4 linked regions of the Diceros bicornis minor genome follow. The protein of the gene in region 3 interacts with the protein of the main gene of each other region in a pairwise test. Links are inferred from orthologs where the notes say so. Each region holds a gene or a part of one and is shown on either strand. Other genes may lie near its edges.

Evidence for each region.
Region 1: the proteins of CEP70 (region 3) and ENKD1 interact in binary tests that used the Homo sapiens proteins (3 or more experiments, as listed by UniProt). The link is inferred for Diceros bicornis minor from reciprocal best matches to the Homo sapiens genes CEP70 and ENKD1.
Region 2: the proteins of CEP70 (region 3) and PIMREG interact in binary tests that used the Homo sapiens proteins (3 or more experiments, as listed by UniProt). The two-hybrid records come from large-scale screens. The link is inferred for Diceros bicornis minor from reciprocal best matches to the Homo sapiens genes CEP70 and PIMREG.
Region 4: the proteins of CEP70 (region 3) and FAM133A interact in binary tests that used the Homo sapiens proteins (3 or more experiments, as listed by UniProt). The two-hybrid records come from large-scale screens. The link is inferred for Diceros bicornis minor from reciprocal best matches to the Homo sapiens genes CEP70 and FAM133A.

The regions. Positions count from the first base shown.
Region 1 is NC_080771.1:19,462,180-19,469,989, reverse strand, and holds the start of ENKD1 (enkurin domain-containing protein 1), read left to right. Parts: upstream 1-4,809; 5' UTR 4,810-4,921; coding exon 4,922-5,135; intron 5,136-5,231; coding exon 5,232-5,426; intron 5,427-6,027; coding exon 6,028-6,200; intron 6,201-7,717; coding exon 7,718-7,810. Other genes in the region: C32H16orf86 (uncharacterized protein C16orf86 homolog), read right to left, coding at 2,852-3,261, 3,365-3,582, 3,790-3,798, 3,958-4,187, 4,406-4,510. UniProt on the Homo sapiens protein: Microtubule-binding protein which regulates microtubule organization and stability. Promotes the stability of astral microtubules and facilitates the proper orientation of the mitotic spindle.
Region 2 is NC_080757.1:12,900,557-12,907,983, forward strand, and holds the start of PIMREG (protein PIMREG), read left to right. Parts: upstream 1-4,415; 5' UTR 4,416-4,491; intron 4,492-5,038; 5' UTR 5,039-5,072; coding exon 5,073-5,366; intron 5,367-7,046; coding exon 7,047-7,342; intron 7,343-7,427. UniProt on the Homo sapiens protein: During mitosis, may play a role in the control of metaphase-to-anaphase transition.
Region 3 is NC_080741.1:14,632,292-14,639,180, reverse strand, and holds the start of CEP70 (centrosomal protein of 70 kDa), read right to left. Parts: upstream 3,008-6,889; 5' UTR 2,935-3,007; intron 2,680-2,934; exon of another isoform or gene 2,517-2,679; intron 2,400-2,516; exon of another isoform or gene 2,171-2,399; intron 1-2,170. Other genes in the region: FAIM (fas apoptotic inhibitory molecule 1), read left to right, coding at 6,239-6,405.
Region 4 is NC_080781.1:87,219,382-87,226,219, reverse strand, and holds the start of FAM133A (protein FAM133A), read right to left. Parts: upstream 3,014-6,838; 5' UTR 2,962-3,013; intron 2,645-2,961; exon of another isoform or gene 2,590-2,644; intron 2,191-2,589; 5' UTR 2,121-2,190; intron 1-2,120. Other genes in the region: NAP1L3 (nucleosome assembly protein 1-like 3), read left to right, coding at 3,535-4,956.

The sequences.
Region 1 (7,810 bases), on a different chromosome or scaffold from region 3:
CCATTGTGTTTGACTCAGATGCTCCTACTTAAGAAAGCGCCACGTTGCAGATCCACAGTGGCACTTCTTATGTTTTTTTAGGGCTCTGGAGCAAACCTCTTGTTTACAAAGATGAATTCCCAGAAGTCCTGGGGTAGACTGCAGTGGGCTTATGAGGACACCAAGTCCTCTGTTGGCAATCCCCAGAAGCCAGGCCCATGGCCATCCCTCAGACATCTTTACCATCATGTGTGTCTCGAGTTGGTCCCAGAGAGGAGATGTACCTTGAAGTGGCCTAGATGCCCGTAGCTAAGGAAGCCAGCAGGGTTCTGGTACCCAGGGGCGACTGAGCCCACAGATGGTTCCAGGCTTGTCCTGCAGCGCCCCCTCCTGGAGGTAGGCAGCATCACCTCCCAGGATCTGTTTCCCAAATCTCAGGATCTTCCTTGCATCAAAAGTAAATATAAGTTTTTCTAAATCAGTGAAAATGCAGTTAGCTTTTCCTCTCTGATACAGCAGCCAGAAAAGAATTTCCAAAATACCTGTTTCTTATTTTTCAACCCCCAACCAAATCTAGGCCTCAGACAATGGCAGCAGTTTCCTCCCTGGCCCCAGTCTCTCCCTTGGTCTGCCCTTCACAGTGCTGCCTAAACGACCTCTCCAAAATGTCAGGCCAAGATCCCTCCTTGCCTACACCCCTCCTGATCACTCCAGACTCGCCCAACCTGGTCTCCTGATGGCCATGCCTCTGCTTCAGCCACGCTAACTGGCCCTCCTGCACGGGGCTGATCTCTTTCACACTAGCAAGGCTTTGTCCCTGGCATATCTTCTGCCTGGAGTCTCAACTCTCAACTCTGTCCTTCAGGAGTCAGCTGGAGGGTTGCCTCTTTACTACTTCTGCCCTAGGCAAAGTGGCAGTCACCCCCATCACTTGTGGTCCCACTGCCTTGGTCCTTGGCTCTTCCGTGGCACCCGTCTCCCTGTATCGTGCTGTCTCAGCATTTCCCCCTTAGAGTGAGGTTCTAGGAGCAGTAATGGTAACTTGTTCCTTTCTGTGGCTTCTGTCAGCTACCCTGCTTAGATAAGCCTGTCAGGTAATAGGACTCAGGAAATGTAGACCAGTTCTTTCTAATATGGTTACTGTGTATTTTCTTTATCACTTGTTGAAAGATAGGGACAGAGCTTCCTTATCAGTGCTGGCCTGGCCCACACCTCCAGCCCTGGAGACCACACAGAGAAAGCAGATGCTTGGCCTTCTTGGGTCAGGCCCAGGGTCCAAGCAAGAGAGCCCCCAGGTCCACAGATCTGCAGAGCTCTGGAAAGGGCAGGGCCTCCCTGGGGCCCAGGGTGTAGTCTCATGCAAGGCCACTTCTCCAGGCCTCTGCTTCCTCAGTCATAGTGAGGAGCTCAAGCTAGTTATCTGAAGAGCCTTCTACCTCTGAAAAATCCCAGAGAATCCATGCTCATCCCTGTGGACAGTATCTCCTGGGGCAGTCAAATCACTTTCCAAGGAAAAGTGTGGGCAGAAAGAAGAAATATCCTGACTCCATGGCTTACCCTGTGGCCTTGCCATGGGGCCGGTGACCCCTAAAGGAGGGAGCATCCAAATGACCCCTAACGGAGGGAGCAGCTTGGGATAATGCCCATTTTCTTCTTACTTCTTCCATCTGGGCCTGCCCACCCCATCCCTTCTGATGATCTTGCCAGGCCATTATTCCGGGGGCCCCATACATGGTTCTGGACTTTGGATGGCCTCAGCCTTTCAGATCCTGACCTGTCCCTCTCTGCAGCTTCCTCAGCTCCCCACCTTGGTCTCCTTATCTTGATGCCTTTTATGGGGGCCCTCTGCTAGGTGATACAATGTGGTGATGTGTGCCCTTGAGTTCAGTCTAATCCTTCAAGGTGACACCCAGGATTTTTGCTGGAACATTTGTGTAGATGAGATACAGGAGGAAAAGCAGGTTGGAGAGAGAAGAAATTATTCATTTAATTTGGAATTCCCTGTGTTTAAAGTGTCTGAGGGACATGTAGGAAAATCAGGAGGCAGCAGGATATGAGAGTTTCCAAAATGGCCAGCACTAGCTGCCTCTTCCCAGAGACCCCTGAGGTCAAAAAGCAGTAGTCATCTGGTGGCTTGGCCTCAGGGCTCCAGGGAGAACATACACCTCTACCACCACCCCCTGCCTGTCAGGAAAAAGGCACCATTGCCTCTGTCGCCAGGGGCCACTCTGGGGGCAAAGTCTGGTGCAGTTGTGGTCTGGCAATAAGTGGAAAGCATTCCAAAGCTGCCACTCTTGGAGCAGACAAGTGAACTCTGCCACTCTAGAGGGTGGATCCCAAGTGTTGGTCTCCTTGAGGTTGGACCAAATGCAGGCCCCTTCCCTGGGAGATGAAGCAAGACCAAGCACCTGCTTCCTATGATCTGACAGTCCCTTTCCTTTCTCTGCCCCAAGTTTCTCCTTGTCACCTCCCTCTCCATCCCCACTGTTCTCCTGTCTAACCTTCAGGTTCATCTGAGGAGCCTTTAAATGCACAGAACCGGGCCCCACCTGTGCAGATTCTGATTCAGTTAGATGTGGGGTAGTGCCCAGGAATCTATATTTTTGTCAAATTCCTGGGCAATCCAGATGACCAGTCAGGCTTCAAACCGTGCACTGGGGAATCCTCCACCCTTCTTCCCAGCCTCTCCCTCTTCAGGCAGCTTATTTGGGGAATCATAGTCTGAGAAAAGGAAAACGTTTATTTTCAGCAAGTCCAAGGTCCCAAGTGGGGGCAGAGGCCAAATTCCCCCTTCCACCTGAGGGCCTAGGCCCATAGGCTGCTGCTCTGGTTCAGGCTTGGGAGGAGGGGAGCCACGAGTGGGGCGGGACAGTCACTTGTACTGAGGAGAGAGTGGGGGTACAAGTGGAGCCATACAGATACTTAGCATCTTGTCAATGTCCACTTGAGTTGACTTATCCACCTCAGCCTTGAGGCAGCCGCTGACCCCCAAGCTGAGCAAACCCCCAGGCTCCTCTCCAGCTTCCTTTCCCAGGGGAACCAGAGCATGGGTGGGGAACACAAACGTATTGGGGCAGGGCAAAGTAAGGCCTGAGCCCAGCTCACCTGCCACATGTAGCAAGGCCTGCAGTTGCTCCACACCTGCCTCCTCAGGGACCGGGGTCAGCTCCAACTCAGGCTCCACCTCGGCCTCCACCTCCCTGTCTCCCTCCCCTGCCTGGTTCAGCTCAGGGTTGCAATAGTTGATGTACTGGTACAGGGGCCGCAGGCGCTGGGCCTTTCCTGCAAGGACCCAGGGCAGGGCAGGGGCTAGAGTGCCAAGCCGTGCCATGTCAAGGGTCCAGCAGGCAGGGGGAAAGAGGAAGGCCCGGGGACTGCCACTCACGCTCCAGCCCCAAAGTCTCTGAGGGTGCAGACACTGTGCTGGCCACAGCTGGGAGCACTGGGGCTCCCAGACTCTTGCGTTTCTTGGCTTTTTTGTGCTGTTTGGCAGACAGTGACGGCTCACTCTGGCTACTCTCTGGCTCCTCCCTCTGCAGCGGCAGCCCCTGTGGCAGCTCAGTTTCAGCCCTAGGATGGGCTTGGTGACTAGGCCCTGGGAGGCTGGGGGATAGGAGGACCGAGGAGCCAGCCTTCAGCCTTGACTCCTATGTCCTGAGCCTAGGGAATAGCCCTGCCTGCCCACCACCCTGGGACCCGATTCTTGTCCCTTTCCTGGTCAGTGAGGCCCCGGGCTGGTCAGAGGCTGAGAGTTCATGTGAGCTCAGTCCCCTTCAAGGCCTTGAGACTACCTCTCAGGATGGTCCCTACACCAGGGTTCTTGAAGGACAGAAGGGGTGAGGAGTGATGGTGGCAGGGCATAAGGATGCACCCTGCAGGGGTGCAGGATGGATTTAGGAATCCTACTGGATTGTGAGTTGTCGTCCCCCCAGCCCCGCCTCCAGCTCTGCAGCTCCTTCCCTCTGAAAGCCCCCTCACTTGACTGGCTTCCTCTTCGGACCATGACTGAGCCTCACAATGGAGGCCATAGGCCTGGGGCCTCTCTCCTCTAGTGCCTCCACCTCTGGCTTGAGCCTCTCTTCTTCCAGCTTGAGTCGTTCCTGCTGGAGCTCTGGCTCTGACACTGATCCTGCTGGATACTTGTCTGCACCCTGGGTCCGGCAGGCCTCATGGGCTGGCACCAGGCACTGTACTCCCATCACTGGACACTAGAGGTGACACATAGGTAACTAGTTATCATGGCCAGGCAAAGGATACAGGGATCAGTCATTAGACACCTGACATCAGACACCAAATGCGAATGAAGGGCACCAGCCCATGACCCTCCCAGCCTATGAAGCCTGTCCTGGCAGTTAGGGGGTCATCGCACAGAGTTTGGCCTCCTACAGCGCTGCGGCCAAGTGTTTGAAGGCTAGAGACACCTCACCTCAGAGCTCTGAGCGCGGCCACCTAGCGCCTCCGCGAGCTGTGCTGGCTCCACGGCCGTCCCCTCCTGGGCCCCTGGCCGCCTCTGAGCCCCTGATGAGGCCATGGCTGCGCGGGGTCAGCGCATCCTCGACGGTTGCTTGGTCGGCGGGGGGCGGGCCCCGAGGGGCCGGACTGGTGGACCCTGCGCTGACCTTGGAGATCGGCGGAGATCGGCCGGTAGGCGAGAGCCAGGGAAGGGCTACTAGCGGCCGCTCTGCCCCACCCTCAGCAGGAACTACAAGCCCCAGAGGGCTTTGCGCCAGGGGCATTGGCCCCTGACCTCAGGGACGGAAACTATTGTTGCCTGGCAACAGCAAACCCGTCCGGTTGCAGCGGCGGGTGGCAAAACGGCTCGGGTGAGCCCCCTGCCCAGGTGTTGCGGGGGAGGGGCCGCGAACCGGGCAGGGAAGTGGGCTGGAAGCCGAGGCAGCGAGGGCAGGCCGGGGTCGGGAGGCAGGGCGGGGGCCGGGAGAGAATGGAGGGCACGGCCGGGATCAGGGGCCCGGTCCAGGGAGGAGGCATGGGGCTTGAGGACAGGGTTCTGGGGCCGGAGATGCGCAGCCCGGCAGGCCTCGGTCCACCGTTGCAGGGCGACGACGGCGGCATGTGCGAGGGCCCGTCCCGCATCTCGGGGCCCATCCCGCCAGACCCTACGCTCTGCCCTGACTACTACCGGCGGCCGTCCTCAGGTGAGTTGGTGGGTGCCGCGGCCAGGCGAGGCTCGAGCGAGGTTCCCGCCCCGCTCCACCACTGAGCCCCGCACTCCACCCCGTCCGGCCCCTCAGCCCAAGGGCGCCTTGAGGGAAACGCGCTGAAGCTGAACCTGTTGACTTCGGACCCGGACCAGGATGCCACCCCTCCCCGCGGCCCCCGCATGAGCCCCGGAGCCCGAGAGATTCTGGAGCGTGGCCGGCGTGCCGTAGGGGCCGTGTTGCTGCAATTCGGGGATATCTCCGTAGGCCCAGGCGCCTCTCCCAAGAGTAAGTTCTGGGCAGAAGGGGCAGAGAGGCGAGTCTGAGGTCAAAAGCTGAGATCAAAAGGGGGGGCTCCTCCTTCCTGGACCTGGGCTCAGACTTTGCCTCTCGGAGTCTTAGTTTCCCCAACTATAAAAGAAGGAGAAAATGCACTACCTCTTCTCAGGAGAGGACTGAATGAGTCATTCCCTGGGAAACCCTAGCTCAGCTTCATGGATTCAAGCATCAATGAAACGTTGTTTGCTGAGTGTCTACTGTGTGCCAGGCCCTATAGGTGCTAGGAAGACAAGGTTGAAGACAAGCATGGGCCATCATCGAGTCAAGGTGGGAGACAATAAACAAGTGAAGAGATGAATATGATATACAAGATGATTAATGGTATACGTCACAATAAAAATGTAGAAAATAATCAAGGATGGAAGAAGATTACTATATCAGGAAGGGAACAAGGTGATGAGGTGGAATATGTGTATAGGATCTAAGTTGGATGGAGAGGTCAGAGAGATGTTTCTGTAGGAGGGCAGGGTGTGGGCCTGTGTGTGAACTGGTATGAGTTGGATTGCCTGGGCTGTATGTAGGGAAGATCCTGGCAACATCTTTTCCGCAGGGAAGGACCCTAAAGACCATGAGAAGGAGAACCTGAGGCGGATCAGAGAGATCCAAAGGCGCTTCCGTGAGCAGGAGTGCAGCCGGGAGCAGGGCCAGCCCAGGCCCCTGAAGGCTCTGTGGCGCTCGCCCAAATATGACAAAGTGGAGTCCCGGGTCAAGGCCCAGCTGCAGGTACCTGCCTCAGGGAGCCAGAAGTATTGTCTATCTTTTTTTTTTTGGTGAAGAAGATCAGCCCTGAGCTAACATCTGTCGCCAATCCTCCTCTTTTTGCTGAGGAAGACTGGCCCTGGGCTAACATCCATGCCCATCTTCCTCCACTTTATATGGGATGCCGCCACAGCATGGCTTGACAAGCGGTGCATTGGTGCGTGCCCGGGATCCAAACCCCGGGCTGCCGCAGCGGAGCGCACACACTTAACCGCTACGCCACCAGGCCGGCCCCGGTATTGTCTATTTTGTTGCCCAACAGGCAGTTATACCCTATCTGAGTTATGGGGAGAGAGGAAAATCACAGGGGACTAATGTACCAGAGGAGTAAGAGATAGCTGGTTCTATTTCAGGGTGGGGCTGGCGGCTTTCTCAGAAGTGATGATGGCTGGGTGAGGGGCAAGTAGAAATTAGGCAAGGGGAGAATGGAAGAGAACATTCTATAGAGCTAGAACCTCACAGATAGAAGTCCTAAGACCAGAGAGAGTGTGGCCCGTGGGGAGGCTGTGTACAATTCACTGTGAGGGGAGAAGAGCACGAGGTTAGGCTAAGTCAGCTAAACCCACATCATAAAGGGCCATATAATCCACTTCTCAACTTTTATTTCTTTAATTTTTTTTGTGAGGAAGATCAGCCCTGAGCTAACATCCATGCCAATCCTCCTCTTTTTTTTTTCCCCTTTTCTCCCCAAAGCCTCAGTAGATAGTTGTACGTCACAGTTGCACATCCCCCTAGTTGCTGTATGTGGGATGCAGCCTCAGCATGGCCGGACAAGCGGTGCGTCGGTGCGCGCCTGGATCCGAACCTGGGCCGCCAGTAGCGGAGCGCGCGCACTTAACCGCTAAGACACGGGGCCGGCCCCTCAACCTTTATTTCTAAGGGCAGTGGGAAGGGCAGGGACAGGGTTATGGTGGTGGGATTCTGTCTTGGGTAGATAGTGGCACCGTTTCTCTACCCAGTGGTCTCAGAAGAAGGAGCAGGATTGAGAGAAAAAACAATAAGGTCATATGTTGTTCTGTTGAAGCTGAAGCATTTGTGGGACTCCCAGGGGGTAGGAGTGTGTCCAGAAAGCAGATGGAGAGTCAGGTCTGGATCTTGGAAGTGAAATCCAAGTGTTATTGAGGATCAGGCCGAGGACAATGAGATCAGGGAAGTGACCCTGGATTTGAGGGCTTGGAGGCCAGCTATCAGTGACCTTGGTGGGGACAGAGTCTGGAAGCTTGGCTAGGAAGGAGAGAAAAAGAGATTGGTAACTGGAGCCAGGAATGGAGGTAGAAGGAGGGGTAGTTTGTTGTTTTCTTAAAGATGTGAAAGACACATATGTTTAAATGCTGATGAGAAGTGTTCCTTCAAGAGGGAGGAGACCCATAGGGCTGGGATAGAGAAAGATCCTGAGAGGCAGAAACGACAGAGTCATGGTCTTCTGGCTTGAGACCCTGACCTCAGCCTAAATGTTCCCTCTGCTATGTCCTGCCCTCCAGAACCCCAGCCCTGCCTCTGGGACAGAGCCTGCCCACTTCCTACGGGCACATTCCCGCTGTGGCCCTGGGCTCCCACCACCCCGTGTCCCCAGT
Region 2 (7,427 bases), on a different chromosome or scaffold from region 3:
GGATGTGACATTGTGGCAGGAGGGCAGGGGGGCAGGTTTCTGGCTCAGGAGAACACTAAAATGGAGTAAGAGAAGGGTGCAGGTTTGGGGGAAGTTGTGGAGCCCTCCCCAGCACCACTTCTGTCTCCCCTACGAGGTCTGGCTGGGGGCATTGGCTCTCCTGTCCCCCTTGGAGGGTCTCAGCCCTGTGCCTGAGGCCCAGGCAGAGCCTGCTCAGGGCATCAGGGATCCCCTTTCTGTTCCAAAAGTGAGAAATGTGAAGGCTTGGTGTTTGGCGCCACCTTGTGGCCTGTTCAAGTTCTTATGCTTCGTCTCCTCAGAGCTCTGAGGGTGCTGGAGGATTCTGAGCACCAAAGCCTTCCTCTTCTTGACTCCAGAGGGACTTGTTACAGGGAGAAGGGACACGGGGCCCCACCACAGGCAGAGACGAGAACTGGACTAGCAGCCGATAGACATGCCTCCAAAGAGCTGATCCCACCTCTTATTTTCTGAACTGTGGCCTTGGGTGTCCCCCATCCTAACTCCAGTTTCCCAGCTGAACCAGGAAAATCGACCTCTCCTGCCTCCCTCTCCAGGAAGTGGAGGGCCTCCCTGGAGCAGTGAGTGGGACCCCAAAACGGCACACCCAAGAGTCTTGACTCCCATGAGGAGCCGGTGGCATAGAGGGGGCCAAGTCTGGGCCAGCTGGTCTGGACCAGAGAACCCAGACTGGGGTAGTCGGATCAGGCCCTTCCAGGACCCCTCCCTGAGCGCCCAGACCCCCCGGCCCCCAGGGCCCAGCTCCATCCCTCTCTGGGGGCAGGGGATCAGGGTGGGGGTGCAGAGGCCCTTCTCTTCCGTTCCAGCCAGCCATCTGCATGCATAGGAGGGAAGACGGATACTTAGATGACAAAACTACAAAGAAAAATAAAAGCGACTACCATAAAAGTCCAGGGACGGAGGGAGGACACACAACAGGGGGTGGGGGCTGCTTCTGGGGTCCCAGTAATGTGCTGTCTCTTCACCCAGGTGATGGGTACACGGCTGTTGGCTTTACACGTATTCATTATACGAGACTTGATGTTTTCGCCATTTTTCTGCCAGTGATAAAATTCACAACGAAGAAAAAGGTCTAATCACGTCTCACACTGCTTAAAACTCTCCCGCTGTTTCCGTTGCTTCCCTCTGTAGAAGGGTCAGGAGGCACCCACGGATTAGAGGAGGTAGAACTGAGAGGTTTGGCAGACGGTGGGCGGGGTGAGAGGTGGGGGCATGAAGGGAGGGGGTGTTAAAGCTGATGACCGGGGTTTCACTGCTTTGAAGAATGAGATGCTTAGGCCAGAGCCTCCAGACGGATCCCCCCGCCACCCCTTGGCCCCCAAACTAACCTCCTAATGGACTTCATTAAATTGCAGCTCTAACAACCCCACGGTCCTCTCAAAACTCAGGCTTCCCTCTGCCCTCAGGATAAATTCTAAGCTCCTTCCCCGGTCAAGGGAGCCCTGCAGCCCCTACCTCTTGCCACCCCGGCCCCGCCCTCTCCATCTCACTCAGCCTGGGCAGTCCCCTTGCAGATCTCTCAATCAGAAAACCTCTTCCCCTCGCTTTGTCCTCCTAACTCCTCAGCTAAAACATGATATGCTGAGGGCAGCCTACCCTCACCCCCAAATCAAGTGGGGTTCCCCAACCCCCTTACACCCCCTCGTCGCCCCTAGCACTTCGCATTCGTGGCATCTTGCAGAGTTTAATGTCTGCTGCTTCCATCACACTGACAGCTCCATGAGGTCCAGGAAACCGGTGGAAGCTTTGCTGTTGGACAGGGAGCCCCCGGGGCGGGGCAGGGCTGGAGCTCCTCCTTCACTCCTCCATCCTCCTCCCCAGCAGAGGCGAGGACGGAGCTGGACCCCAAAAAGCCTCAGCTCGGAACAACTGTGGTTTTTCCTCCTTACGAGGAGGAGCAGGAGCCCCTGCGCCCACCGCCCCTCCGCTGGGCACCTGCTCACCTCAGCGCATCCTCCGTGCTGCTCCCTCACTTCACTCCCTGCAGGGCAGAGGGAGAGCCTTCCCATTCAGGTTTCTTCCTCCTCCTATCGTTGCCATGGAGACTGATCCTGTGCACCTGGCCCGCCAGTTATGGTTCTGAGGGAAGGGGGTGTGAAGCCCCAAGCAGGGAGGGCCTTGTCTCTGGTTCATTCACTCATTCATTCAGGCTGTGTAATCTAAGGTTAAGAATTCAGGTTTTCGAGTCAGACATCCAAGATTTAAGATCCAGCTCTGACTCTCCATCCCAACTTTGGTAAGACACTTGACCCACCTGAATCTCAGTTGTGTCATCTGTAATTTGTCATAGAGTCACCGTGAGGATTAAGGAAGAATAAAGGAATTCACTTATCGCACACGTGTTAAGGGCTCAACCAACTTAAGCTATCGTATTGACGCCAGTGAGGTGCCAGGCACTGCTAGAGGCACGGAGACAAGGCCTTGACGCAATTGTAACAAGGCAACCCAATTTGAGAGACTTTTTTTCTAAGTCTTTCCCACACTTTCAACTTAGTTTTCATAAAACAACTCTTGCTTTCCCCCTTATGTCTCGTTGGTAGAGGACCTGAACTACATTCTTTAATTCCAATAACAAATATAACTGGCACAAACAGGGCTGGGAACAAACACCTCTGATGCTTGGGAAATAACTTAATGGGGGAAAAGGGGGAAGAGGCAGACCAGAGCAGGGTTGTTCAAACTGCAGCTCACACCTCAGTAGGGAGCCATTGGGAGCTGTCACCAGCATGTTAAAAAAAATGAAGTAGATAATAAAATATCAAAGCCCATCACACAGTTTCAGGAAAGCTTGTTTCATTAAACATATGTGTGTGTGCTGGGCATCTTACACGGGTACTGTTCAATGTTGCCTTGAACATTCCTGTGCGAGAAGACCCTCCACACACGCATTCACACACGCACACACACACACGCACGTACATTCTTTGCTTGGTCAACTCATTCTCTGGATCTCAGCTTTAAATGACGTAATTTTTGTGTCATAATATTCTTTGATTAATTGATTATTATTTGACTCGTTAATGCCGGTCTCTCCCCACACACTAGATTTGAGCTCCGTGGGGGTAAGGAATGCGTCTGTTTGTTGACCTTTGGTCCATTTTTAGCACAGTGCTTCATCTGTCAGACACCAGTAGATATTTGGAAAGACATGAGAGGGGACACGGGGAGGGAGGAGGAGGGTTGGGAGAGACCAGGGTGACGTCGATTGGGGCGTGTGGGTTTAAGGTGCCTACAGCCCCAGGAGGAGATGGGCATGAGGGGACAGGCACAGGCTAAGGAAGGGCAATGTGGTGTGGTGTGGTGTGGTGGTGCAGCACGTGGACGCTGGTGCCAGACTGACAGAGTTTGAATCCTTGGCCCTGCTTTGTACTAACTAAGGGAGATTGGGACCCAACCGAAGCTCTCTCTGCCTCAGTCTCCTCCTCTCCTCTAGGCTGCAATGAGGGTCAGATGAGTTCATAATATACAGTGCTTGGGACACAGCTTCCTGGTGCACAGTGAGCGCCCCATACATGCTCATCACACTCACCATCCCGTGGGGGGTCACTGAGGCCAGAGAGTGGGTGAGATCACCCAGAGATAAAGAAGAGGCTAAGGACAGAGCTTCTAGGAGCCCTTCAGCTGAGACATCAGCAAGAGAGTGGCCAGAGAGGTGAGGGGGCGGGTTAAACCAGGTGAGGATGGGGACAGTGGCCAGTGCTGCTGTGAGGTCAGGTAAAAGAGGGAGATGGTGGCGGGAGATTTCTAGAGGAAGGCATTCGACTGGAGAGAGAGGAGCGTCAGTGGGGCACACCGGGTGTGGGGAGGGGGCTCATTGGAGGAGGGCTGGGTGATGTACTCTGGTCTGTTCTCTCTTCCAGGATGGGATTTCCTGGGGGCAGAGTTTGGTGGAGTCTGGGGAACACAGGAGGGCAGTGCCTCGTCTCCGGAAGGCAGAGAGAAGTTTGAAACAAAACCTCCACGGGAACCCAGGGCTCCGAGCTCCCAGCTGCCGGCTGTTTCTGACGGATAATCTGAGACTCTGGACAGGATGGGAGGGTCCCCAGGAGCCCGGGCCCGTGTCTCTGCCCCGCCCAGTCCGACCAGCCTGAACCCTTTGCATTTCGAGGAGGGGCCGCAGTGGCCTGGGGCCGAGCGTCCGCGAGGGGGCGCGGGGGCTGGGCCGGCGAGGGGCGCGGTCGGGACCCGCAGTTACAAAGGAGAAGCATCTCGTCGCGCCAAGCCTGGCGCGGTCCTGAGGGATGAATGGGAACGGCCGGGCCAATCCGCGGGCAGGATTCACAGCCGCGAGAGCAGGGAGCCAATCGGATCCCGGGCGCGGCAGCGATGCGGGAACGGAGCCAATCAGCTGTGACGACAGGACCAGGGGCGGATCCGCGCGGAGTTTCAAATCGGCCGGAGTGGGCGAGGAGCAGCTGTGCCGGGCGTCCGGTCGACGTTGGGGGCTGTTGGGTGAGTGCGGGCCGGGCCGTAGTGGGGCTTCTGTTCTGAAGGGACCGGGGCGGAGCGGGTAGGATGGGCACGGCACGTGGGCGTCTGGGTATTGCAAGGTGGAAATCGGGGTGTCTGGTCAGTATGCGGGGTCCTGGCGGGATCGCGTTGGGTCAGCGCGAGTTTGTGAAAGAGCCGCTGATGGTGCCCTGGCCAAGTGCTGAGGCTCGGGAGGGCCGGTCCTGACTCTGCCTCCCTCCCTGAGGCAGGAAGCGGAAAGCAGGCTGGGATGGAAGGACAGCTGTTTTAGACACTTGCAGCAAGGGACTGCAGGAGATGCTGACCGGCCTTGTACAGCCTCTGCCCTCTTCTGGGCCTCGCTGCCCTCGCCTTCTAGGAAGCATCCTCCTTCCTATTCCCACAGTTGCCGAGTGCCCTCACCCCCGGCCTCGGCCATCCACCCCACCCCATGGGCCTCCGTCCCATCTCTTCCCCTGTACCCAGGGTCTCTGTGGAGCCTGGGCATGGGGGATGCCTTGCTGACCTGCCTTTTGACCTCCTTCCCAAGGTCTGGTGGACAGAATAGACTCTTGGCCAGGCAGATGGCCTCTCGGTGGCCAAGCGTGGGGGTCTCCTTGCGCCGAAGATCTCTCCAGGACCAGGAGCAGCTGGAGGAGAGTGAGATGCTGCAGCCTGCAGTCAGCCATCCGGAGACCTCCAGTGGGGCCCTGGGCTCTCTGTGCAGACAGTTCCAAAGGAGGCTGCCTCTGAGAGCAGTCAGCCTCAACCTGGGGGTGGGCCCCTCCTGGAAACGCCTGGAAGCCCCAGAGCCAGGGCAGCAGGGTCTCCAGGCTGCGGCCCGCTCAGCTAAGAACGCCTTGGGTGCCGTGTCCCAGGTAATGCTGACAGCGCGAACCATCAATTTATGGAGGGCTTCCTCGGTGCTGACAGCTGCTGCCCTCAAGGAGCCCCAAAGAATACAGAGTCCAAGAGGACAGGGACATTGATGTTTTCATTGCTGTGTCCCAGCACCCCAAATAATTCCTGGCACTCAACAAATAGTTGAATGAGTGAAGGAAAACAGTGTCATGGAGGAAATAGATCCTCACAGTACAAGGTGATAAGAGCTGTATTGTGATAGGAAATTGCAAGGAGTGGCTGATGGGGGGTGACACCAAAAACAAGCTCGGTGGGTGAAGCCTTCCCAGAGGAGGTGATTCCGCAGAATTCACCCACAAAAGAGGAAGAATGAGGAATGTATGAGGCAGGTGCAATAGTGTGAGTCCAGAGCCAGAAATGAAGGAGAACTGACAGGCGCTTAGTCTGGGTGTGGCCAGAGAACAGAGAGCAAGCTGGTGCAAGAGAGAGGGATCTGGTGTGCTGAAGGTGTTAGACTCTCCCAAGAGTGATAGGGAGCCATGGGAACCAGTGGGAAGAATTTTCAACAGGGTGGGAATAGGGTCCAATTAGCATATTAGAATTTGTTCTTTAGCTACTCGATGGAAAAGGAGTTAGAAGAAGATTCCCCCTAAGGGGGCCTGGGGCCCTAGCCTTACAGAGGAGTGAACAACTTTAAGAGCTACTCAGAAGGTAGATGTGAGAAGATTTGGTATCAGATGAGATGTGTGGGCAAGAAGATATCACATATGTTGGGTGTGAGGTACCTGTGGGCCTTCAAAGTGGGTGTGTCTTCAAACCCGGAGCTGGAGATGTGGAAAGGTGTCCCCTAGAAAGGACAGAGGCCATGAGAGTGACTAGACCTCCAAGGAGAGAACTGGGGGGAGGGAGGAATCTCCTTTGTGTCTGATTGAGAATCTCAAGATTTGGGAGAGGGAAGCTGTTTCTGAACCCTTTGCAGAAAGGTCTCTGAGCCAAATGTTAGTCCTTGTCTGGAAGAGCCCTGTGATTGTTTTATACCCCAGGGATCAGAGAAATGAAATGAGGTAGGCTGCCCAAGGTCACCAAAGTTACTCACCGAAGGTAACTCGAGTCTCTAACCTCCAGACTCTGGTTTGCCGAGGCAAAGACAGCCTGGCTGAGGAAGAGCCTTCACAGCCGTGCCCCAGCTGGAGTGAAAGGCCCATGAGTTAGGGCTTGATCCTGTGGGCAGTGAGAGCCATAGAAGGGTTTTGAGCTGTTGAGTGTCATGGTCAGAGCTGCCCTTGAGAAGGATCTCTGCGCACAAATGTGGAGGATGGATAAAGTGAGTGAGACCAGAGGCAGGGAGACCAATTATCTCATGGTATCCTGGGGGGTCAGCCTGGTCTTCCCTGGGCCTTGCCTTTGATTCTTTGGGTCAACGTGTGTCCCACAACAGGGGCTGGGCTTAGACAAATGCAGGCTCCACGTCCAAGAATGGTTCTGCTGTGACCACTGCTCTCACACCCAGCTCTGAGCTGGGTCCCTGCCATGCACCCATTTCACACAGACTCATCCACATCCCTCACTCCTGAGACTAAAAGCTGCCTGTACTTGCAGGATAGCTGGTGGGCCAAGTGGGTAGAGGTACAGCCTGGAGACTCGGGGTAGCTCCTCCTTGGCTTGTCTGTGCTCACCTTTCCGTGTACCTGTCACAGAGAATCCAGGAGTCCTGCCAAAGTGGTACCAAGTGGCTGGTGGAAACCCAGGTGAAAGCCAGGAGGAGGAAGAGAGGGACACAGAAGGGCAGTAGCCCCCCAGCTCGCAGCCTGAGCCAGAGGAGCACCCGGCTGTCTGGAGCTGCCCCTGCCCACTCAACCCTGGACCCCTGGGAGAGGGAGCATCACGGCCTCTCCGCCCAGATAGGCCCACGTGGCCACCCCCTGCGACGGGCCAGGAGGGAGGCTGCCTTCCGGAGCCCCTACTCCTCGACAGAGCCCCTCTGCTCCCCCAGGTATGAGGAAAATGCCCTGCCCCAAAATACCAACTGGGCCCCAGGGGCTTCTGAGCCCCTTCTGGGGCTACCTGGAGCCAGAGGC
Region 3 (6,889 bases):
TTTTATTTTGATTTCTATTCATGCTGTTTAAAAAGCAAGTTCAGAATATCAGTTAACCCATTAACAGTTCCCTTTTCAAACGGAGGCCCAACGAAAACACGGACTAATGTGAATGAAAGCATTTTTAGCTGTTCTCTTAAAATAAAACACTGATGTCTATGGGTAAGTCGGTGAGAGGCAGTTTCAGAGGTTAGAACAGCATCTAGGGTACTTGCCAGGAAACAAGGAAACAATCTGACTGAAAATAAAGTCAAAAGCAGGATCAGGGGCAGCCCAGTGGTGTACTCTGCTTTGGCGGCCCAGAGTTGGTGGGTTCAGATACTGGGAGGCAGACCTCACACCCCTCATCAAGTCATGCTGTGGTGGTGTCCCACATACAAGATAGAGGAAGATTGGCACAGATGTTAGCTTAGGGACAATCTTCCTCACACACACACAAAAAAGCAGGATCAGCCTGGAAGAGTATGTTTTATACTCAAGTTTCACAGTGCTTTTTTCAGAATTTCTTTCTTTCCATAACAATCCTGTCTAGTAACAAGTGACTATTCCTGTCTCCAGTGTCCTAGGCCCAGGGAATGAGCAGGTGGACAATATAGCCCAAACTAGCATGTTCCTTAACTTCAGGTACCCCAGAAACTATACCCAAAGAGGAAATAGTGGCACAGAACAAGCCAGCTGAGGAATCAGACTGCCTTGCCTATTCTGGGTGCAGAATAGGCACCGAGGGGTAGGGTGAACTCCACTGCACTCTGGGGTCCCTGGGCAGAGGGATTCCCCAGGTCTCAAAGACAGGGCCCAGATTTTTCTTCAAGCACAATTAATACTTTTCTAATAATAGGCCCTGTTACCATGAACTTTTCAAATGCCACAGGCCCGCTTCCACATGCTAGCCCTGCAACTTCTGAAGGGCTCTGGGTCTCTCTGTAAAATGGGTGTAAATATTATCACTGGGCTCTAGTGAGCACCACAGGCCATCATATATAAGGCACATAGCAAGCATTCAACAAATTACACCTTATTGGTCTTGTAAAAGATATCCCGACTCCTGAAGTTTTGTAAGAAAATATGATTCTTCATTGAACAATATCTTTGAGCTGCCGCCCAACCAGGGTTTCCTGGTCCTAGCCCAACAACTCAGGATTGTTTTTCTGAAGAAATAAGGACTAGGAAAAAGGAATTAGGGAGGTGTCTTCAGCTAGCCTTGTCCTATCTCTGGAAATTTCCACTCTGGGGCCTTTTACTTTTCCCCTCTAATTCATTCTTTCAACAAGTATTTATTGAAAACTCTCTGTTCAAGACACCAGTGCAGAAGAAAAAAACAAATATGAAAAGTCTTCATCTTTGGGGAGCTTTCAATACAGGGTAGCAAACAAGAAATCAGGGCTCACTAAGCAGAATTCCTGTAACATAACTTGCTGAAGAATTCAGTCATTATTACTTTGCAGACTAACCAGTCTAACAACCTAATCAATAGATTGTTCCCTGTTATCTCTCAACTCTCCCTTCTCTCACACACTTGCTCAGCATCTAGAAACCACACCCACCCTACCGATTGCCAAGGTGAAATAATCCTTCTTTACCTCAACATCAAGCTGCAGGAAGCAACTGCACAATAGGGCCTGGATGCCCCTATGCCCCCAGATCCCCTGGGCCCTCAGAACCCCTCCAGAATCCCTTCACATGTCTCTGTTTTGTTGCTCGGCCCACTCTCCACGGGGACCACTCCCTCTTTCCTCAGATGGCCCACTCAACAACCTTCCTCCCTCTGTGCAGGGGACACTGTCCTTCATTCAATAATTTATCAGAGCCTCCTATGAGCCGGCACTGTGCAGACGTGGGAGATGGAAGAGAGGGAGCCAAGCGGCCACGGTGCCTGCCTTCACATACCTCAGTCTACTATTAAGTTACACATTAATCAAAAGTTACACGAATGATTGCACACCCTGAAAGGAACTAAGAGAATTCCAGGCGCTGCAAGTCTGAGGGGCCGGGATAGTTTTCCTTAAGAAATATTTCAGGAACAATCTCGACAACAAAAATGGAGGGTAACTAAGGGAAGAGGCAGGGAGGCGTGTCCAGGCAGAGGGAAGAGCACTTGCAGAGGCCCTGGGGTGAGAAGGAGCTCGCACCATGTGAGGATCTAAATGAAGCCGGCTGGGCAGGGGCTGCATCGTACACGGGGCCTCACGCCCACAAGGAGCTTTGGTCTCTAAACTAAAGGAGTAACCAGAAGCCATCAACAGGTTGCAAGCAGCGAATGCCGGATCAGGTTTGCCTGCTCCGAGGCTTCAGAGCAGGCCCGGGGGCTGTGTCTGCCCACCTGGTGTCCCCAGCGTCCCGCCCAGCGCCGGCGCTCGGCTGGTTCCTAGGGACGTCTGCCGGCAGGACGCCAGGACGCGGTGCGGGACTATGTTTCCGGGGTGGGGGTGGGGTGAGGCCGGGCCTCCGCGGAGGCAGCGGGCGGGGCTGGCGCGGCCGAGTGGCGAGGCGGCAGCGGCGGCGGCGGCCTGCGCCGGGCACCGCCGGGGCCCGGGAGCGCGACAAAGAGCCGGCGCGCTGGGCTGTAGCTTGCGCGGAGCGGCTGCCGCTCTCGGCGAGGGGAGCAAGGCCCCGCGGCCTACGGCGCCGAGTCTGCCCCTGCATTGCGGGGCCGGAGCCGCCCGCGGCCGCGGCGTGCAGGTGAGACCGCCCCCGGGGGGCGCGGGGGGCGCCCCTGGCAGCCCCCGCGCGCGGCCTGGGCGGCCTTCTCCGGGCGGCGGGGTGTGCGCGGCCCCGGGACCCTGCGGTGAGGCCCGCGCCCGCGCCCGCGCCGGCCGAGTTCCCGCGGCTCCCGTCGGCCGGCCGCGGGCGGGGGCAGCGGGGCGCCCCTCCCCGGCCAGGCCTTGCGACCGGCCGCCCCGGCCTCGGCCTCGTGCCCAACCATACGATTAGTACCTGTCGCTGTGGAAAAGCGGCGCAGAAAAGCCCGGGAAGGAAGCCCGGGAGCCGACCCCCTGCTCCCCGGAGACACCGGGTTACACTGCGCTGCGTTTCTTTCCAGCCCCTTTTTCCCTGTCAGCGTGAGCAGGCTATTTTTGCAGAACTTGGATTATAAAGTGCTGTAACTTGGCTTCTTTCTCTTACTAATCCAGCACGTGCATCTGCCCGCGGCTGTAAGTGTTCCAAGTCGTTTTTGGTGGCCGCGCTAGACTGCGGGCTTGTGTGCCCGCCTGACCGCCGCACCCTGCCGGCGCCGGCCCGGGCCGGGCGTTCAGTTTGTTGAGTGAAGGACTGTGATTTACTTAACGGAGTCCCTCCTTGATGGTGAACATAAAGGTGGTTTTCAGTTTTTAGCTTTTACAAAAAGCAATTCCATTGAGCACTGTTCCTTCTGCTGTTGGGGGCATGATTATTTGTTTAGAGTTAATCCCTCATAAAGCTTGTGCTATAGGTTGCAAAATGGTCCTCAGAAGAGTTTTTCTCGTTTTTGTACCTCCACTAGCGTTTGGGAATACCTGGCTCTAGGAGCTTCCTGACCGACTTTGCTGGAGGTCCCAGTGCTTCACGGGGGACCGGGCGTGCAGTGTCAGCACCCGTTTGTTGAAGGGGGACCTACCTGTGGCTGGCCTTACCGGGAGCTTTGCTGAAAAGGGAACTGTGAGCTTGTTAGTAATTTTAAAAACTGACTTGCGTTCAGCTTGGACAAACCACTGCAGTCCCCAGTACGGTTAAACCTAAGTTAAGGCAACATTCAAGCTGGGGTTAGATGAACAGTGGAAACGTGTTAATGTTTAAGTCGCACTCTGAAATATGGGTGTTGAGTTGCTAGGGAAGGGATTTTAAAAGATTATGGTGATGGGTACCTCACTAGATACTCAAAAAGCTTTCTTTGAAGACATGTAAGAAGTTTCAGATGAGTGACATTGTCCCCGTCAATCAAAATAAATGGAATTTGTTTTCCATCCTTTTCATTTACATTTTTAAAACTTTGTGCTAAAATAGAGGGAAGTTTTCTTTGTCCCTGTTTTCCAGTTTGGTCGCATGATCTTGAACGTTAAGTGTATGTATAGGAGTTTAAAAATGACAGTGGATTAATTCCTTTCTCCCAAGTTTTAAACCGAAGCTTTCCCTGGCCTTGCCACACATTTGGCAGGGCTAGGGTCCTTGCTCTATGGGCCACTCTGTCCTCTACTGCTCCCCTTTACAAGGACACCGCCATGGCTGTGCTGTAATTATCTTTTGGTCTCTCCAGAGTCCCTCACTCTGAGCTTAGTGCCCAGCTCAATGCCTGGCACAGAAGTGACCAATAACTTAGCGTGCTCGATGACCTCAGAATATGACATGTTTATTAAGTCCAGTTTGTAACTTGGATATCTGTGTGTGACAGATATTTCCCGTTTACATGAGTAAAGTAGAAATCGGGGGACAAGGACAGATGTGATCACCTCTTCGTTATAGGTGTAAGTACATTCTAAGAAACACAACCAGCGGGGCAACTAGGTCTTTTTTTTTTTTTAAGCAACTTTGTTGAGGTATAATTCACATACCATACAATTTACCTATTTAAAGCATGAAATTCTTTTTTTAAAGCATGAAACGTTTTTTGTATATTACAGTATGAATTTTTTAAGCTGTGCTAAAACATATATAACATAAAACTGCCATTTTAACCATTTTTAAGTGTACAGTTCGTTGGCATTAAGTACATTCAGAATGTTGTGCAACCATCACCACTGTCTATTTCCAAAACGTTTTTAACACCTGACGTGGATACTCCATAAATAAATGTTGGATGTATGAATGAATGTTGATAGTTTAGAGAAAATTAAAAAAAAAGAGATGTGATCTTGATTTCTAACTCCCTTCTAATTTGTTGTGTTGTCTTTTACACTTCCATATGAAAAGTTATAGTAATTAAGACGCTACCATGCCTTATCTTAATGTGATTTAGTAATATTTGAAGTTCCTTATAATGGAAAACGGGGCAATTCTTTCAAGTTTGAATGCTGCATTACTGAACTTTCTAGAATCTCTAAAAGTTGTAGAGCAAAATTTGAATAATATCCCTAAGTCCACTCTGATTTACAAAGGATGCCTTATCCAAGTTTATATTATGCTGTTTGGCTTGCTCTTTTGCTCTGTTTTCTCTTTGCTTTCACAGTTGCAGGATACCCTCCACCTTCATAGAAGATATCCTAGGGCTTCTTAAGACTAGAAAAATCCACACATTTGTAAGGTGCTAGTAAAAAAAGAGGGATTTATTTTAGGTACAAAGTGTTTTGAATCTTTACCTAGTTTTTATTCTAAAATTCTTAGCTTTTCTTTGCCCACTGGGTTGCTTTCATGGGTGCTAATCTGTTCATCTTTTTAAAAACCGTTTGTGGCTTCTAGCTGTTTCCAGTTTAAGAAAGTTGGCAATCTCTCCTTTTTAACAAGGCGAGAACACCCTTGGGCATCTAGAGGGAGAAGGCTAGAGTAGATCTTGTGAGCAAAAAACGGTTGAGCTTATTTTCCAATAGGTTTGGCAGGGGTACACCTGTTAATCCCAAATCTTCAAATGTGGAGAGTTTCCTAAGCATCTGAGTACATGTGTGCTTCTGATTTTAGTAAAATTTAATTAGCACTACAGCCCAGTTACTGTTTAATTAATTGCACAGGAGTCCTGGGCTCTAGTTCTGGCTTGGGCCCTGCTAGTGACCTAAGCAAACCACGTAACTTCTGTGGATTCCTTACTGGCACTAGTAAATTAAGTGGGCTTGAGTAGGTGGGTAAATTAAGCTTGCTCTTAGAAAGCAAACTAGCATATCCTTGGCTGCTTCCTACAAAATCAACATTTCTTTGAAGTAAAAAAATTTTTTAAATTATATATTCCTCCATAATATAGCCTTCCGAAATTTAGAATAAAGATTGCATTTTAAATTTGTTACCACCCTGTAACGTTGGTTCCTCCAGAAAATGCATTCTGTTTATCCTGGAGTTTTATGTATTCCCTGACCCACTGCCTCATACCCTTGGGGTTTCTTGTGCCTCAATTTGAGAAGCATGGGACCCAGAGGACTTGTCTCTTATGGCTCTGGTGTGGTGTAATACTTGAAATGAACTAGAGTTTATTCTCTAGTTTTGGGAAATTATAAATCCAAACTAGGGAAAAATATGATTGGCCAATTTGTATGATTTAACTTCTCTCCCTGAAAATTAGAGATTGCAATTCTGTTGTATGTAAAAGCTGTTTCATCAGAAACTACATGCAATTTACGAAATGGATTGCAACGTTAGAACAACCCTTTGCAGATGTCATCTTTGTTGCTCTCTTCTTTCTTTGCTGCAATTCTGCTTTTTTCTTTCCTGGCTGCTAATTGGATTAAAGACTATTTTGCCAACCATGGCATCTGGAGATGACAGTCCAATCTTTGAAGATGACGAAAGGTAAATGTCTTGCATTGCAATAAAACTAGCTTTTGAAACTTTCAGGATTGTTTTCATCGTTCAGAAGAGTTATTTATCCAGGCTGCTTTTTTAAGGACACATTTTGTAAGATTGCAGAATGCATGGTTTTGCTTTTCTGTGGTTTAGAACACTGTGTGGGAAATGCCTGGCGTGGAGGTGGCCACCACTAACGTGGCATCCTTTCCCACAGGACCTGGGTGTAAGGTCTCCAAATCCCTCTCAGCACAGAGTTCTTGGAAATCGCTTCAGAATGATATAAAATCCATTTACCATCTCTGATTTAGAGCAAACAAAGGAGATTAGAGTGAATGAAGAGTAGGAGTTAGTTGAGAGAACAGACTCTGGAGCCGGCGTCCTAGGTTTAACTCCCGTCTGCCACTTACTTGACACTGTAACCTTAGACAAGCCCTTAGCCGCTCTGAGCCTCAGTTTCCTCATTTATAAAATAGGGATAATAATAGTA
Region 4 (6,838 bases), on a different chromosome or scaffold from region 3:
AAAAAAAGATGATAAATTGGACTTCATCAAAATCACAAACTTCTGCTCTCTGAAAAACCATGAAAGGCACTATTAAGAGGATGAAAAGAAAATCCACGGATTGGGAGAAAATATTCACAGAGCTTATATCTGATAAAACACTTGTATCCAGAGTATATAAAGAATTCTCAAAACTCAATAGTAAGACAACAACCTAATAGAAACATGGGCAAAATATGAATAGACACTTCACCAAAGAAGATATGTGGATGGTAAATCAGTACACAAAAAGATGTTCAACATCATTAGTCATTAGGAAAATGAAAAGTAAAACCATAATGAGATACTACTACATACCTATTAAAATGGCTAAATTTAAAAACAGTGACCACACCTAGTATTGACACTGCTGGTGAGAATACAAAATTGTACAACCACTTTGGAAAACAGCTAATTTCTTAAAAAGTTAAATATACACACCAACAAATGAAAACACATGTCCATACAAAGACATATACAAATGAACATAGAAGCTTTATTCACAGTAGCCCAAAACTCGAAACACAAATGCCTATCAACAAATTGCGGTATTTCCAAGTAATGGATAACTACTCAGTAACAAAACAGGAAAATGACTCTCCATGCACACAACAACATGGATGAATCTCAAAATAATTATGCTAAGTGAAAGAAGACAAGTAAAAAGAGGGGTATATTACATGATTCCATTTATATAACATCCTAGAAAATACAAACTAATCTATAGAAACAGAGAGCAGACCTTTATTTTTTATAATTTTTACTTATTAGATTTTATTTGCTAATAAAAACATATATTTTTTAAAAATACGGATCCCTAATTCATTTCTTACTCCAAAATACTAATTCCTGATGGTACAAAATTTAACATGTATATGAAACCATTAAAGTGCTATAAAAATGTAAGATCATTCATTAAAAAAAATGTCCATCATTTTAAATGAAAATAAGTTGTAGAACAATATTTATGTCATAACTCTATTGATTTAAATCATTTTCACAGTATATGTTTTGATTTAAATTATGAAATGAAAAGATATGCACCTAGTAAGTTTTATTCACCATTCTATTGCTATCCTCTACCACATATGCTTGGCACATGGCAAGCACAGGAATATATTAGCTGAATGACTAAATAAATGAACTCATTCATTGTTGATGGGACTGTAAATTGTGATAACTTTTCTGGAGAGAAGTTTGGCAATATGTATCAAAGAGTAAAATGAGCACACAATTTATTCCAGCCCTCTCCTTTCTAGGAATTCATCCTGTGAGTAATTTTCACAAGTGCATACAGTACATATCCAGGGCTAATTTTCTTATAACAGGAAAATATATGTATGTTAGTGGAGAGAGAGTGTGGGAAATAGGTGCCCTATAACAGGAATCTGGTTAAATAAATTAAGGCAAATATTTCCATGGAATATGTATCTATTTTAAAATAAGATGTTGATTATTTACCATGAAAATATAGCCACAATTAATTGATAAATTAAATGAGCAGATTACAAAACATAATATGATGTCACATAGATAAAACAGTGTATATAAATAGGCAGGTGTGTATATGTACAAAGAAATTTCTGGAAGGAAATGCATCAAAATGCTAACAATGGCTATAGTTTGGTTGTTAAGATTGTGTATTTTTACTATCATTGGAATTTTCTATATTGTATTTTTTCTTTAAAATGCTTATATACTTTGACAATCAGAAATAAACAATAAAAGTAGATCCATTTACAAAATAGAAGACTAGTGCTTCCTAATTTTTTATAAAATATATGATGAAACGACAAAGCACAAATCCTACAATAAAAAAGTAACATAAAAGTTAATCTAACATTTTCCTCATTTAAAATAAAATAATTCATATTTTAATTTACTGCTTGTATTCTATGAGCAGGTTTAGATAGTGAATGTGATTAATTAGGCTATTTTCTACATTAGTATGTCAAATCACCTCCGTGGATTTTTCTGCTTCCATAGAAATATCAAGATATCTTCCAATTAAGTCTTTAAAAGACTATATTCTGTGAATTTTTATTCAAATACAGGTAGGTAATTCTTGTCATTCATAAAAATGGGCTAAATATGTTCCTTACCTTTTAATGAAAGGTAAACACTGGTCTTTTTGGATGTACCAAGGGAGTTGTTCTGTAGCAGAAAAGAATCCTGTAAATAAAAATAACAGATACCTGTTTTTAAATTTCATTTTGCAAAAGTTTATTCACATATTTCTGGACTTGTAAATCATACTTTTAATATGGCTAGAATTTTACAATGTTAGAAGGAAATTGGTGGTAGATGACATTGTGAAGTATATATTGACAGAGGATGCACGTTTATCAGCACAAATTCCCCTCCCATTCTGCTGTTTGTGGAATTGAAAACTGCTGCACAAAAGTATAGAGCAAACCTTCTGCTTTTAAACAATACTACCTAACATTTGAATACCCTTTTATTTTATCTACAAGGTTTGAAGGGCTAACTGGCAAGTCAGCAGCAAGGTTGAGGTACATTATACGCCAGCTTAAAGAGAGAAATATAGTAAAAATGGTGCAACTGACTCACGGCAACATGGGCTCGAAAACCTTGTAGATGGATATAAAGCAGGCTTGCCAAACATCACAGACAGCACTTATTAAAACTGCTACGTGGAATGCAACATGCCTGCTTTCTAGCCCCTCCCTCCTTTGCCAATAAACGACTCTCCTTTTTTCCAGTGTAAAAATACATGCTCATAGAATATTTAGATAAAATAGATTAAAAAAAATCATCCATAATCACACTACCCAATGATGCCACTTGGAGTACTTTCATCCAATTTTTTAAAAACAGATTTTTGTCAAGAGGCCCCTGATAAACCAAACGGGAATTTAGGATGAGCGGATGGGAGAAAGATACTCCTCTTCCCTTGTTAGGAACTATGGCTAGTATTTTTACCTCATATCTAAGCTTTTTTTTTTTGAATTATAAAACTATAAAGGTAGAATTTAAAGGGGAAAAATCGTCTTCCAGGGGTGTGTGCCTCAGCTACCAAGGAGCGTCTGGGAAGATGGGCGGAGCCTGGAAGGCGGGCGGTGCGTTTGGTCATTCATTGGGCTTAGGGACTGTCAATCAAACTTGCCCAGCAAATGAGGCGCGAGCTAAAGGCACCCTGGGAACTAAACTAACAGGAGGTCTGACTGCAAGGGGAGGGGGCTGCCGATCTAAACCGTGAAGAGAACTTGGGGTCTCACACAGCGCTATTCGGCTGCGGCACGCCTCTGTCCACCGCGGCGGCAGCCGGGAGAGGCCTTGCCACCGCCGCTCTCGCGCAGGCTTCCACTGCCGCTGTCACCTCCGCGCGATCGCCGCAGCCCAGTCCCGCCCCACGCTGCTGCTGCCTTCGCCGCTGCCACCTTCTCAGCCCGGGCCGCTGCCGCCACCCAAGCATCCGTGAGTCATTTTCTGCCCATCTCTGGGCGCGCGGTCTCAGCAGTAGTCACCACCTTTAGAGGTTTACTGGCTTGCAAAATGGCAGAAGCGGATCTTAACATGGTCTCGGGACCTGCCGCCCAGGGGGTTGCTGAAGAGATGCTGGCTAGCTCGTCTAGCGATTCTGGGGAAGAATCTGACAGCAGTAGCTCGAGCAGAAGCACTAGTTACAGCAGCAGTGGCAGCAGCAGTAGCCGCAGCCGCTTATATAGAAAGAAGAGGGTACCTGGGCCTTCCAGAAGGGCGCGGCGGGCTCCGTCGGGTAAAAATTTCGTGGACCGGCTGCCTCAGTCAGTTAGAAATCGTGTGCAGGCGCTCAGAAATATTCAAGATGAATGTGACAAGGTAGACGCTCTGTTCTTAAAGGCAATTCACGATCTCGAACGAAAATATGCTGAACTCAATAAGCCTCTATATGATCGGCGATTTCAAATCATCAATGCAGAATATGAACCTACAGAAGAAGAATGTGAATGGAATTCAGAGGATGAGGTGTTCAGCAGTGATGAGGAGGTGCAGGAAGACAGCCCTAGTGAAATGCCTGCCTTAGAAGGTGAGGAAGAAGACGACCCTAAAGAAAAACTTGAGGTAAAGGCTGAAGAAAATGAGGTACCTAACGAAATTCCTGAGGCAAAGGCTGAAGAAAAAGCAGAGTCTAAAGATTTGCTGGAGGCAAAGCCTGAAGTAAAAGAAGATGCTAAAGAAGTCCCCCAGGCAAAGGCAGAAGATAAAGGACAGCCTAAGGCAGTAGAGGCTAAGGCAAGGGCTGGAGTAAAAGAGGCTTCTAAAAGAGTTCCTGAGGTCAGGCCTAAAGAAAGAGTGAATCTTAAAAGAGCTCGTAAGGGAAAGCCTAAAAAAGAAGATCCTAAAGGCATTCCTGACTACTGGCTGACTGTTTTAAAGAATGTTGACAAGCTTGGGCCCATGATTCAGAAGTATGATGAGCCTATTCTGAAGTTTTTGTCAGATGTTAGCCTGAAGTTCTCAAAACCTGGCCAGCCTATAAGTTACACATTTGAATTTTATTTTCTACCCAACCCATACTTCAGAGATGAGATGCTGACCAAGACATATATAATAAAGTCAAAACCAGATCACGATGATCCCTTCTTCTCTTGGGGATGGGAAATCCAAGACTGCAAAGGCTGTAAGATAGATTGGAGAAGAGGAAAGGATGTTACCATGACAACAACTCAGAGTCGCACAACTGCTACTGGAGAAATTAAAATCCAGCCAAGAGTGGTTCCTAATGCATCATTTTTCAATTTCTTTAGCCCTCCTGAGATTCCCCAAATCGGAAAGCTGGAACCACGAGAAGATGCTATCCTTGACAAGGACTTTGAAATTGGTCAAATTTTACATGATAACGTCATCCTGAAATCAATCTATTACTATACAGGAGAAGTCAACGGTACCTATGATGATGGCAAAGATTATAGAAACAGAAAATGTCGAAAATAAAAAAGAGGCTGCCTGAAAGAATATTCAAGAATCTCAAAACTTCAAGCAGAAGTGAAGCAGGTTTATATAGCGTTGGAAAAAAACAAACAAACAAAAAAACCTGCCTCATAACCTCAACACTAGTATTCCTTACAGTCTGGTGTTTTCATATTTTCTTGGTAGTCTAAAAAATTGTCTTAAGTATCAATTTATTCTATCTCGCCTGTTGTAGTGTAATATTCTTCAAAATATGTAAACTGCTGTCAATTATCTAAAGCATGTTAGTTTGGTGCTACAGAGTTTTGATTTTTGTGAAGTCTTTTTGTCATGTTCCTACCAGAATATAGCTGTGAAAACTGTCAGAATTGTTAACTGAGACAAATATTTGAAAAAAAAGTTCCTGAAGTATCAATGCAAGTGTTTTTTTTTTCTTTTTCCAGCCCAGAAAACTAAGGGTTTAAATCTGCTTGCACTAGCTGTGCCTTCATTACTTTGCTATAGGAATACAGTGATTATACCAACTAGAACAGTCTATTGTAAAATTTAATTACTTGAAAAAAGATTAGCATACATTTAAGAATGTCCATCAAAACCATATATGATACAACTGTGTGCTTATTTATTTGACATACTGGTCTATAAATTTAATCATAATGAAGTTATTGTTTACCACCGAGGTGTTAATATGACCCAGTATTTAAAAAAATGTTTCCTCATCTTATACTGTGTAATTGTAAACTAAAGTTACTAACCATATTTTCTTTGTATATGTTCTACTTTGCCTTTCATTGAAAATGATCACTTTACATCATTTGATTTTTTTCATGTTCTTCTATTACAACCTAAAATAAATAAATGTCAAATAAAGTGTATCATGCTATGAGAATCTAGCATTTTCTCCTAATTATAAAAAATATGCCTATTATAGAAAAAGTAGAAAATACTGAGGAAAAGGGAAATTTTAAAAAATGTAACTATTATTAACATTCTGATATATTTCCCAGAACTTAGCTCTTCTTTGGAGGATACACATTCAAGTGATTGGAGAGAAATGGGATGGGGGAGGAAGAGAAGAGGAGGAGGGAGGGGGAAGGAAAGGGGAAAAGGGTGGGAGAAGAGAAAGTGGGGAGGGAGAGGGAAGAAGGAGGGAGGGAGGGTGAGGAGAAGGAAAGGGGAGGATGGTGGAAGGAGAAAAGGGTGTGAGGGAGGAGGAAGGGAAAGTAGAGGAGGGAAGGAAGGGAGAGGGCTGGAGGAGGGGGGGAGGGAGTGGGGATGGGGAAGAAGAGGAAGGGGAGGAGAGGAGTGCCTCACCCTGAAAAGACATCTATATAAGCTGTTGCTTTCACTTCCATGAGTAGAGTGGGTAAATGACCTAGGCCCACCCTCCACCCTGACTTGGGAGGAGGTCACACTCTCAAATGTGGCTTATTTTTTCTTACAGGTGACATCATGCTCTTACCTCTTCTGCACCATGCAGCTGGTTACAGGGTAATTAGATCCTGAGATTTTGGTTTGAAATTAGCGTGAAGTGGAGGCCCCTTAAACTCACCAGAGAGCTTTGCACTGGGCACAAAGGAACAAGCACAACACATAATAAAGTGGCATCTTATTTGACATTCGCCATTTCCCTGTCCACATGTATTTTCCTTCAAGACCTTACAGGAAAGAGCTGTGGCAGGAGGAAGACAGTATTTGGGAATTTCTGGGTTTCTAGGCATAAAATTACCTAATAGTCTTCCCAAATCTCACCATATATAGTTTAGTATCTTGCTTTTATCCCTTCTTAACAACAGTTCCTCCTCCATGTCTATGAATATAAAAATATTACAACCCATGACATACTATATTTAACCAATCACCTATGTTTGGATATTTAGGTTGTTATAATTTATACAAAATCAGG